Linked DNA regions of Kluyveromyces lactis. The protein of the gene in region 2 interacts with the protein of the main gene of each other region in a pairwise test. Links are inferred from orthologs where the notes say so. Each region holds a gene or a part of one and is shown on either strand. Other genes may lie near its edges. The genes, in order: FAL1, SGD1 and PLC1.

Region 1 (3,264 bases), on a different chromosome or scaffold from region 2:
ATCTTTAGAGTTACTTGTTCTTTTATTTAATAATTTATTTATTCTGATATGTGCTCTCACAACTCCCAATAGCAATGGAAAGTCCGGTACTTCTAGTTAAAAACGCTAATGCTGCTACTAATGCAAGCAATCTGGGATTACTCGGACAGAAACAGAATTCGTATACTGTGGATGAGAATACTTGGTTCCTAAATAATATCAGCTTCATATTCGAAGATGATGATCCGAGCCAGCACGACGAAGATCAACTAGATTACGAAAATGTCATCATTATAGATAGTGAGCCGTCTGGCACGGTGAACAATGTAGAAATGCTTAGCGAACGGTGGCAGTTACTAGCTTTTGATCAAAACCCAAGAGATAATTGCATATCACTCACTGTCATGAACGAATTAAGTGCAGATTTGGGTCAGAATACTGATATTTCTGGTTTAGATAACCTGTCTAAGCTGTACCATGAGCGAAACGCTCAGATACGGAAACTACTCGATTCCATAGCTCCGTAAATTGTAGCATATGTATATCTATACATACATATATATATATATATCCCATAGTCTCACGACAACTCTTCTAAATTTGCAGGAGTTGGTTTGATCTTAATTCTATAGTGCGATTCGATCTCTTTCAATTTGGGTCTTTCCTCCTTCGTGATGAAATTTATTGCAACACCTTTACGTCCAAACCGTCCGGATCTACCAATACGATGGATATAGTTCTCTAGATTATCTGGTATATCGTAGTTTATCACCAATGAGATCTGCTGGACATCGATACCACGAGCCCACACGTCTGTCGATATTAGCACCCTGGCTTTTCCACTCCTGAAATCATTCATCACTTGATCACGTTCTTCCTGTTTCATGTCACCGTGCATTGAGGACACAGAGAAATTCGTCTGTGTCAACTTCCTGGATAACCAATCCACTTTTTTCCTTGTATTACAGAATATCACACATTGTGTTATCGTTAACGAATCGTATAGATCACAGAGTGTATCAAACTTCCATTCTTCCTTTTCTACATCCACATAATATTGCTTTATCACGTCCAAGGATATCTCATCCCGCTTAACCAATATCTTCACCGGGTCACTCATGAACTTCTTGGTGATCTCTAATATATCTTTACTCATTGTAGCACTTACCACCACGACTTGAATCGTCGGTGGTAACTTGGTGAAAATGTCGTAGATTTGTTGTTTAAACCCCAAAGTTTCTCCGAGTAGTTCATCTGCTTCATCGAGAACTAAGATCTTACAGTTTCTAACGTTCAATACTTGTCTCTTGATCATATCTAGTACACGGCCCGGTGTACCACTGACCACTTGACAATTTTTCGATACTTTCTTGATATCTTGTTGTAAGGCCTTACCTCCTGTGCACGCATGTGCTGTAACGTTCAAATAGTCTCCTAGGTTAGATATCACAGATTCACTTTGACTCGCTAGTTCTCTTGTTGGTGATAAGACCAATGCTTGTAACTCTTTGCTCTTAGAATCAATTGCTTGTAATAATCCAATGGTAAATGTGGCCGTCTTACCGGTACCAGACTGTGCCTGGGCAATCACATCTTTTCCTGAGATAATCTGAGAAATGGCTCTAGACTGAATGGATGATGGATATTCAAAGCCGTAAAAATATATGCCTCGTAACAAATCCGGTTTCAAGTTCATCGACTCAAAAGTGGCAGATACCTTGAGCTTCTTTGAAGTCTTAAACTTCAACTTCGAGTCATCATCTCTGTTGAACGACATTGTTGATGTGATGATTCCCTTTCTTAACAACAGTAACTCCCGGTTACACTTCACTTGGACCTACCGTTGCAGCCTCTATTTCAATGCATCTCATCGCATCTCATCTTATCGTTGTGCTTGCCAAATTTTCCATTTTTTAAAGGTTTTAAGCTGAGAACCGAAAGTTCAACAACACTTTAAGGTGTCAAATTACAAGTGTATGTAAATAACTGCAGAACAACTGGTCGAGTGGCTCGATCTAGTGATTATTTAGATCAGATTAGTGGTAGTGCGTGCTTTCTTCCCTTGTTTGCTTTTGAACTGCACCATGTTTCGTGATAGAACTAATTTGTTTTTATCCTATAGGAGAACTTTCCCCCATCAGAGGCTTTCGAGTACCAAGCATCTACGATCGAATAAAGATTTGGAGAACCAGCCATTCATTGGTAGTGACGATGGTAACAATGATGAAGATATGGTTGCTATGGATGATTTCTCCCGTCAATTACCGCCAAAATTTTTCGATTTAACGTTCCAAGTGGATGAGTCGTTATCTGCAGTAGATCAATTGTTGCTACAGTTGACGAAACTATATCAAAAGAACTCTTTACCAGGATTCCAGGACAATAAGCAGGATGAGGAGGAGATTGAGCAGATAAGTTTCCAGGTAATTAAGAGATTCCAAGAATGTTTTGGTGTTATCAAGACTCTTACGAGAATTAAGGATTCTCAATATTCGAATGGTAAGCAGCTAAGCAAGGACGAGTTAAGGATATTGGATAACCTAGAAAAGAACTACGCTTTGAAAGTGCAAGACAAATCGCAGAAGTTCAGAATATTACAGAATAATCATTTGAAGTTTTTGAATAAAGATGATTTCAAACCACTACCCACTACGAAATCAAGTAACGATACATTGATGTTGTTGGAGGAAGAAGTTGAAGGAGATGAAGTCAATAACATCGACTCATATTCAAAGCAGACTTTACAAAAACAGAATCAGAAGTTACAGGATAACAATCAGCAATTTTTGCAACAAAGAGATGAGGAAATTACACAGTTAGCGAAAGGTGTACTCGAAGTTAGTACTATTTTCAGGGAAATGCAGTCTTTGATCATAGATCAAGGTACAGTGGTCGATAGGATCGATTATAACTTAGAAAACACGGTTATTGAATTAAAGCAGGCCCAAAAGGAGTTAGACAAGGCAACGCACTACCAAAAACGGAGTCAAAAATGTAAAATTATTCTATTTCTATCTTTGGTCGTTCTAGCGTTATTCCTCCTTGTCATGCTGAAACCTCATCACCATACTATACGAGAATCAGCTCCTTCAAAATCTCACAAACCTCCTGGATCACAAGTGGAGGTCAATTCTCCTAATGGAGACCCGTTGCTGGATCCAGAAAGTAATGTAGAATAAAAATGGTCAAATATTAATGAACTTGCTTATGATGGAGAAACTGCATCGAACTTCGAAAACAAATTTTGATATCGTGATAGAAGTAAACGACCACTGTCGAATTGGT
Region 2 (4,390 bases):
TAAGTGCAGCATCTCTGCATAGTTCTTTTAAATCGGATCCTGACATCTGAGATGTGCATTGTACAATGTAATCCAAATCGAAATCGCGAGGGTCTGACTTTGTATCCTTCAAAAACACTTTTAGTATTTTATGACGTTGTTGTGCGTTAGGCAATGCAACAGGGAATCTTTTAGGTAATCTTCTTAGGAATGCAGAATCGATATCATTGATCCTATTCGTGGCTCCAAGTACCATAACCTTCCCATTGGAGGTAAGACCATCCCAAAGAGTCATAAACTCGGCTTTCAACATAGATGTCACCTCATGATCTGATGAAGCACGCTGTCTTAAGAAGGAGTCAATTTCATCGATGAAAATGATACATGGTTGAATCTTGTTAGCCAAAGAAAACATGGCATCAACGATCTTATTGGATTCACCGTACCATTTGTCCATTATAGAAGACATTCTGATAGATATAAAATTGGCTCCACTTTCGTGTGCTAGTGCTTTTGCTATCATAGTCTTACCACATCCTGGTGGTCCATACAAAAGAACACCCTTTGGCGCCTCCAATAATGCACTTTCGGAGAAAATTTCCGGACTTGTTAGAGGGTAAATGACACTTTCTGTAAGTTCCTCGATAACGTCTTCTAACCCACCAATATCTTCAAAAGAAACATCGATATCTTGAGGCGTAATGACAGAAGCAAGTACGCTACGCTCGTATGCATTCAAACTGACATCATCCAATTCGGGGTTGGCAGCACATAATCTTTGCCATACTAACGATTGTCTCTCCTTCTTTTCTTTCGAGTTACCTGATAAAGGACCTCCTTCAGCCTCTGTTAGTAGTCTATTCACCAAATAGTACACTGAAATTGCAGTTCCGAAGAGAACAGATAAATCGGTAATGGTCTTTAAGTCAATTCTTGGAGCCATTTTTCCTGTAATGTAGCAAGAATGATAAAATCAGTTTTTTCCCTGGTTAATGAATGGCTTCTTATCAGAGAGCTTCTGTATATCAAACGTATTCTCCAATGGATGTAATCGCTGTTCGGTCTCGCCGTGTGACGTTGCCACTTGTTACTTGCAAGTTCAATCACTGTATGTGTTCGATTGTGTTGATTCTTTAATTTCGCAAATAGTTCAAAAAGAAACCTTTAAAAAATGTGGAACTTGAAAAATTTAGACCATGCGATGAGCTTCATGTATGTTTATTGAACAAAACCGCTATCAGCTGGGTTGGATTGGGTTACCAAGGCTTCTTTGTTCCGAAATTTACCAGTTTGATTGAAGACTGCAGCTGATATTCTCGAAAAATCATCATATTTACTTATCCTAGCTCTGTTGCTATCATTGTCAAAATAGTCCAGGGCCAATTCGAAGAGATCGTAACTAATTATTTTACTCCGAGCTCTCTTACTAGATTAGAGCAAACGTCAATTGTTGGGACAACACATTCGAGCTATGAGTAAGAAACATGCTATCAGATTACCGGGAGTGTTGTTGGATGAGCTCAAGGGTCAAAATTATGATGAAGAGGATAAGAGATATCAGTTTCCTAACGTGAAGAAAGTCCAACGCAATGGTAAAAGAAAAGCTCCTTTGAGCAGAAAAGAACAGAGAAGACAAGAACGTGAGAGTAAGAAAATAAAGAGGTCTGGAAATAATATTCAGAAAACGTCTACTTCATTGAATGTTGAATCAGCAAAGAAAGATAGACAAAATGGTTCTACAGCCGTAAAATCATCTCTTAAGAGAGAAAAAGTAAAACTTGGGATTCAAGTCAAGCCAAAACAAGTCAGATTCTCCGAGTTCAATGAGGTGAAAGAGATTTCGTCTGATGATGAGTTATCAAGTGGTGATTTCGATGATTTCGATGAAGACGATCTGAATGAAGAAGAATGGGAACAACTACGTGAATTAGAAGACAGCGACGAAGAAGAAGAGGATGACGGCGGTGACGACGATGACGATGACGATGACGATTACGATGAAGAAGTAGAAGAAGAAGAAGAAGAACCTCTTACGGCTAGAGAAACTATGGCGAAACTCAAAGCTTTAAAGGAAAAAAAGCGACAAGTGAACCCATCTGGAAGTGAAATGGCAGTTGATGATGCCCAAAATTCATCTGAAGATGATGAAATACTTAATGAAGAATACTCAGCCGATGATATGGATGATGATGAAGAGTGCGACAGTGGTTTGGAAGAAATGAGTGTAGAAGAAACAATGGCAGCTTTGAAGGCAATGAAAGATAAAAAGTTACAAGCCAAGTCTTCCAAATCTACCACCACTGGTACTGTAGAGAAAGGCTCTAATAAGAATAACAAAGAGTCTGGAAAGAAAGAACAGTCTAAATCAAAGTCTGAGATTTACAGTCCATTAACACCAGAGGACAGAGCAGCGATTGAAAGAGATGAACTGGATATGAAATATTATGCTGGCAAGTTGGGCTTGAAAAACGGTAAAAAATTGCGTGCCACAGATGAATACGATGCTATTGGAGGTTTACTAGAGGGTCTTGAGTATTTTGAAGACTTTGGAGATGATGAAAGTGGAGAGGAAAATGTAGAAGATGATAGCAATGTCTCAGACGATGGTGAAGATGAACTAATATCGGAAGATGATGAAGATGAAGATGAACAAACGGAAGAGGGACAAATCGAAAACCCATTTTCGTCTGATGATGAGTTATCAAGTGGAGACTTTGATGAATTCGACGAAGACGACTTGGATGAAGATGAATGGCAACAACTTCATGAATTAGAGGGGAACGCTCCATCATCTACACGCACGAAGCAAAAGGAGAACATTTACGCCGCCCCAGTCATCGAAGAGAATAAATCTTACGTACCACCATCCTTGAGAAGAAAACAACTTGAGGAATCTGACTCGGAGACTAACAAGGAATTGAAAAGAAAAGTTAAATCAGCTCTGAATAAACTATCAGATTCAAACAGTGCTATAATTGTTACCTCCTTGAACGAGCTCTATGATAACTATGCAAGACAATACGTCAATGATGCGATTAACAATCAGATGATCGAGGTTGTTGCACAGAAGAATAAATTATTGGACACTTTTATCATGAATTATGCTGGTGTAGCTTTCAGTATATGGAAGCTAAGGGGAACTGAAGCCGGTGCTTCCTTTATTCAAGCATTGGTCCAGAAATTCTTAGAGATTTATAGTGAACAGATACAGTCGGCTAGAAATTCAAAATCAGACGAGCCAATAATGCTGTCTAAGGAAACGACTAATTTGCTGACTTTGCTGGGCTATTCCTACAACTTCGGGCTAGTTTCCAGCAGACTGATATATGATATCATCAAGCTATTAATTCAAGAACCCAATGAATATACAACCGAACTTCTGTTAAGGATCATCTCTGTTTGCGGCCCTTTGATACGTGGTGATGATCCCAGAGCTCTAAAGGATATAATCACGGAACTATTGGCCAACGTTAAACAGATGAAGCAAACTCCAAGGCTAAACTTTTTGTTGGAAACTCTGTCCGATTTAAAGAATAACAGGTTAAAGCCTTCAGTTCTTGCTGCCAATCATCAGACTTTAAAAAAGGGAATTTTGGGATCACTTCGCATCTCAACTTCGGCATCTTCGGAGCCTTTGCTGGCTTCTCTAGAAGATATAAAAAACGTGGATTCTAAAGGTAAGTGGTGGTTAATTGGAGCATCATGGAAGGGTAATCAAGAAACTGCTTTCGATGAGGCTAATGTCAAAGAAGACAGAACGATTGCTAATCAAACAAATATAAAATTGGATGATGATTTACTCTCTGAAATGATTGATTGGAATGAGATAGCGAAACAACAGAGGATGAACACTGATGTGAGAAGAGCTATATTCGTTAGCATAATGTCTGCAGAGGATTATTTGGATGCATTCGCTAAGATAGAAAAGCTGAACTTGAAGAGTAAACAGAGTCTTGATATTTCACGGGTGCTGCTACATTGCTTGTCAAACGATGGCACATCGTCCGGATACAATCCATATTATTCATTATTAGCAGGAAAACTCTCAGAGCATAACCACAAACTTTTAAAGTCTTTCCAGTTTTTATTCTGGGAAATTGTGAAGAAGTTCGAGCTTGAGACACATTCAGATGATGAGGAAGATACCTTGTTCAGCAATGAAGACACTGTTGATGAAGACACTAGATTACAAAGATTGGCTAAGCAAGGCCGATTCTTTGGCCATTTAATAGCAGAAGGTCACTTGAAACTTGATGCTTTCAAGCATGTTCCGTTAATGGCAGGACTCAACTCAGATGGAATAATCTTCTTTGATATTTTGCTTTTCCAGTTGTTCCTTTCCGAAGGTAAGGCAGCCGAAATAAAGATCAAACGAGATGGAAAGAAAACATTTGAGTATAACTCTGATGGT
Region 3 (4,411 bases), on a different chromosome or scaffold from region 2:
TTCCAGATGTGAAAGGCGCAATTCCCACCATATATGTTAATCTATCTTCACCAAGTGCATCAAGGTTCAACCAGTAAGAAAAGCCATTGCAACTTGTCTTGGTTGAGCCACGCTTAAGTGCGCCAGCTATATAGTTACAAACTGTCGCCATGTTCCGCCCTAATTTAATGAAGCTAGTTGTATTTATCCAAAAGTGTTCTCTTAACCATGCCTTTAAATTACCTCTTCTTTCGTACATCTTAATAAGGCTATCATAATGGTTAAACCACCATCCGTCTGAACATTGTTCATTACGTTTGGAGATATAACTATCATCATAAGATTTTCTAATTGGAGTACTATTAAAGAATTCATTTAACTTGTCATCAAGAACTACACAGTCGAGGCCCAATGCAGCAATGACGCTGCTAACATCTGATATATTATTTCTAATATGATAGTTCATAGTCTCACCTATCTTCATAGGTTCAATTGATTTAGGTAACATGTTTACTAAATTAACATACGTGGCAACGCCGTAATTGCCAATCATTGAATAGTTTAAAGATGAGTTATCGCGTAATATGTTGTATTTATCCCGAACATCAGTAGGGAGATTGTATGAGACACGGAAGTCATTGTGGTCTTCATAGAATGTATATTGAGGGACTGCGGTTGCAGTAGCAAGAGTAGCTAAAATAAGCAGTGCATAATAGTAAGCGAGAGTGAGTGACATGTCATTTTTTATGGGCGTACGTTTAACTTTGTAGATGACAACATATCTTCACTTCCTTTTGATGGAAGGGTTTATTACCAGGTCGGCAAATATGTAGAACAGTACTTATAGCGCATATGTTGAACTAGTGAATCTTGTCACGGAGTATTGTCCAGATACATATTTGAATTGGTGATGGCTTCTGAAAGAGACCAAATATATCAATCTATGTGTTAAAGGACATAACTGAGGTTCATGTCGTATCGCATAGAATCGGCTACTTCATTTCCCAGGAACATCCACAGGAAAGCAGTAGCCTCGGCAGGGAACACCAAGTGCATGCATAATTGATATATATATTCCAGAATATTCAAAATAATCATGCTGCTCATTAAATTAATCACGTGATCATGAGAAGTGCTTCAATTCGATGCGCCAGTGCATGAGACGGGATCTCGTATTTCTTGAACTTATAGATGGAGCTCCGCACGTGATCGGGATACTATTGCATAAGGGAGCTCTATGGTTGAAAGATACATTCAAAGTGTATCGATCGACTGTATTCACGTGAATTACGTTTTGAAATCCTAGTTGATCGCAAGACATAACCTGTTCTTCTTTTCCTCCTGTTACCTGGCATCATTTATTTCTGTGTCCTGTTTTCCTTTCAATATCGAATAAATCATAACCGTGACAAAACAGCTTTCGACTCTCTTATGTACAGGATCTGAACTCTGGGGTAAAATAAGCATACTGCTTTCAAGGTACCGTTTAAGAAGTGCTACAACATCTTGATTGCTACCACATACTCGGATACACAATGGATCCGTTTATGGTTTCCTGCTATATGATGACAAGTCAGAAACGTCTCGTTGAACCCTCGATGAGGCTTGAGTTCAACGATGTGGATGATGAACATCAGGCTATTATGCCACAAAGCATTTTGAGGAGCCTTTCTTTGGAAGATGGGTCCAATAGTGATATGAGCTCGAAGAGTACTGCTCCCTCCTCGGGAAGTGAGGAATCCTTTGTGTATGATCATATATACAAGGGCATCAAGGGCTTTCTTTCTAGAAGACCTAGTTTTAATGGGCATGGAAATTCTAATAATAACCCGAACAAAAATAAGACGTCCCAACTTGGTGGCCCTCTCACATATGCATTGTCGAGCAACCTCAGGTTAGAGTCAACGGATTCTGGGTTTGGGTCCTTCTCGGCAGATCCATTGGACTTGCCTCTACTTAAGGTGACACGACGGAAACGTGTTCGGTACACCTTCCATATAGACCAGAATACAATAAGTTGGAATAACGGAAAAAAGCTGATATACGTTGATACCATCAAAGATATACGGAGTGGTGATATGGCTACCAATTATATGGATATGTACAATGTTCCTTGTCCTTCACGGGACCTTTGGTGTACTATCATCTATTCAGTGAACAAAAACAGATTAAAGGCTTTACATGTTATTGCGGAGGACGCTGCAGTATTCAAATCTTTTTATGAAACGACAGTAAATTTGGTGAATTCTAGGAGGAAACTAATGGAAGATATTGCAGTTCCAAACAATGAACAATTCGCCAATATTCATTGGCAGACCAGTGTTTCCACAAAGAAAGAAGACCAGGACAAAGATACGTTAAGTTTCGCGGATGTGAAGAGACTTTGCAACCGATATCATATCTACTGTTCTGATAACTACCTTTACGCACTTTTCATTAAAGCGGACACTAACAATAACAGTTTGCTTAATTTCCCCGAATTCCAAGATTTTGTCAAGTACTTAAAAGCTAGGCCGGAGATTGAAATAATCTGGAATCAAATGAAAAATAAGGATACTAAGGTGGTTGACTTTCAAAGCTTTTACCAGTTCATATGTGACGTTCAAGGTGAAGTAATATCACAGACTAATGCTTATAAGATTTTCAAAAAGTATTGCACCGCTGATGAACTTTTAGATGTTGAGGGTTTATTAAAATTCTTAACAAAACAACCGTTCCTACAATTATTCGAAGAAGATTATTCTAGACCGCTAAACGAATATTTCATATCATCATCTCATAACACTTATCTTATGGGGAAGCAAGTGGTGGACGAGGTAAGTGTCGAAGCTTATACTCGTGCTTTGCAACAAGGATGCCGTTGTATCGAAATAGACATATGGCAAGGAGATCATGGGCCTGTGGTATGCCATGGTCTTTTCACACAGTCAATCCCCTTAGAAGATGTTGTTAAAACGATACGAAAATATGCGTTTATCACTTCACCTTATCCGCTTATTGTATCTCTAGAGATCCACTGTAAGAAGGATTACCAATTAATGATAACGAAAATTATGAAGGAAATTTTGGGAGATCTTATATTCGTAATTCCACCAAACACTTCACTATTATCACCAGAGCAGCTGAAAAATCGCATTATATTGAAAAGTAAGAAGACGCATGCTGTAGAGTCTGAAATTATAAGTGGATCAACTTCATCCTATACGTCTTCTTCCTCTCATGAATCACTTTCTGAAACAAATGACATGCGGTTAATCAAGAAGCGGGGCTTACAAAAAAGTACTACCAGTAGCACTTCTCCAAATACGACAACAGTTCCAGTGACAACAAAGAGAAACAACAAATCGTTATTGTTATCAACAAAGATCATGATATCAGACAAGGTTCATGAAATATCTGGGATTCACGGAGTAAGATTCAGAAACTTTTCGTTGCCTGAATCAAAAACCACTACGCATTGCTTCTCACTAAGTGAGAAGAAGTTTATCAATCTTGACAAAGATGAAACTCAAAAACTCGCTATCAACAAGCATAACCGCAGACATTTAATGAGAATCTATCCGCACATGTTGCGGTACAAATCCTCCAATTTCAACCCAATACGATTTTGGAAAGAAGGAGTACAAATGGTCGCAACAAACTGGCAGACGTATGACCTGGGACAACAATTGAACCATGCAATGTTCCAAGTTTCACTAGATAGAAATTCCATCTGGCATTCTGGGTATGTTTTGAAGCCCGCTCACTTGCGAAAAGAGATACATAAAATGAAGGACATTCCAGTAATTATGGAAAGGCTCAAACGGGAGAAGATTCATATCCATTTGGACGTAATTTCTGGCCAGATGTTATCCTTACAAAACTGCAAGATACTAGCACCATTCGTAGAAATCGAACTCATTACTGACAATACCATGGAATCACTTCACCTTACCAACTGCTTGCAGCCAATGGGGTATACTTCCAATAACTCTACCCATGCTACCGGAATTACTAGCATGAGTAATGCTTCAAATGGTACTTTTGCTAACATTACTAGTACCTCAACCAAGCGCGTTGATAGCAACGGCAGCAGCGGTAAGACTGAACCACTTTGTGAAAGTAATGGAACCACTGTTATTTCAGGTTTGTCCGCGGAAGACGGAATACTCAGTACTCCATCTGCTCCTCCAGCAGTATCTGTACCTGTCCTTAGTTCACCGCAACTATTTTCGACAAAATGCTTCCGTGATAACGGCTTCAGTCCCGTGTGGAATGCGTCGTTCGAGTGTACACTTACAAACACTACGTTCAACTTCGTGCGGTTTACAGTCAAGAACTCCACGCAAACTATCGCAACAACGTGTGTACGGTTGAATTATTTGAAGCAAGGGTATAGGCACTTACCGTTGTACAACATAAAAGGGGAGAAGTTCATATTCTCCACTCTATT

Evidence for each region.
Region 1: the proteins of SGD1 (region 2) and FAL1 interact in binary tests that used the Saccharomyces cerevisiae proteins (3 or more experiments, as listed by UniProt). The link is inferred for Kluyveromyces lactis from reciprocal best matches to the Saccharomyces cerevisiae genes SGD1 and FAL1.
Region 3: the proteins of SGD1 (region 2) and PLC1 interact in binary tests that used the Saccharomyces cerevisiae proteins (3 or more experiments, as listed by UniProt). The link is inferred for Kluyveromyces lactis from reciprocal best matches to the Saccharomyces cerevisiae genes SGD1 and PLC1.

What each region holds. Positions count from the first base shown.
Region 1 is NC_006037.1:926,500-929,763, forward strand, and holds FAL1 (ATP-dependent RNA helicase FAL1), read right to left. Parts: upstream 1,757-3,264; coding exon 560-1,756; downstream 1-559. Other genes in the region: ATG31 (Atg31p), read left to right, coding at 75-506; t-SNARE syntaxin TLG2, read left to right, coding at 2,064-3,158. UniProt on the Saccharomyces cerevisiae protein: ATP-dependent RNA helicase involved in 40S ribosomal subunit biogenesis. Required for the processing and cleavage of 35S pre-rRNA at sites A0, A1, and A2, leading to mature 18S rRNA.
Region 2 is NC_006038.1:541,569-545,958, forward strand, and holds the start of SGD1 (Sgd1p), read left to right. Parts: upstream 1-1,450; coding exon 1,451-4,390. Other genes in the region: protein-degrading AAA family ATPase MSP1, read right to left, coding at 1-922. UniProt on the Saccharomyces cerevisiae protein: Involved in osmoregulatory glycerol response, probably through its interaction with PLC1 which regulates the expression of GDP1.
Region 3 is NC_006040.1:60,224-64,634, reverse strand, and holds the start of PLC1 (phosphatidylinositol phospholipase C), read left to right. Parts: upstream 1-1,514; coding exon 1,515-4,411. Other genes in the region: KLLA0_D00660g (uncharacterized protein), read right to left, coding at 1-715. UniProt on the Saccharomyces cerevisiae protein: The production of the second messenger molecules diacylglycerol (DAG) and inositol 1,4,5-trisphosphate (IP3) is mediated by activated phosphatidylinositol-specific phospholipase C enzymes. Required for cell growth, osmoresistance and expression of GPD1.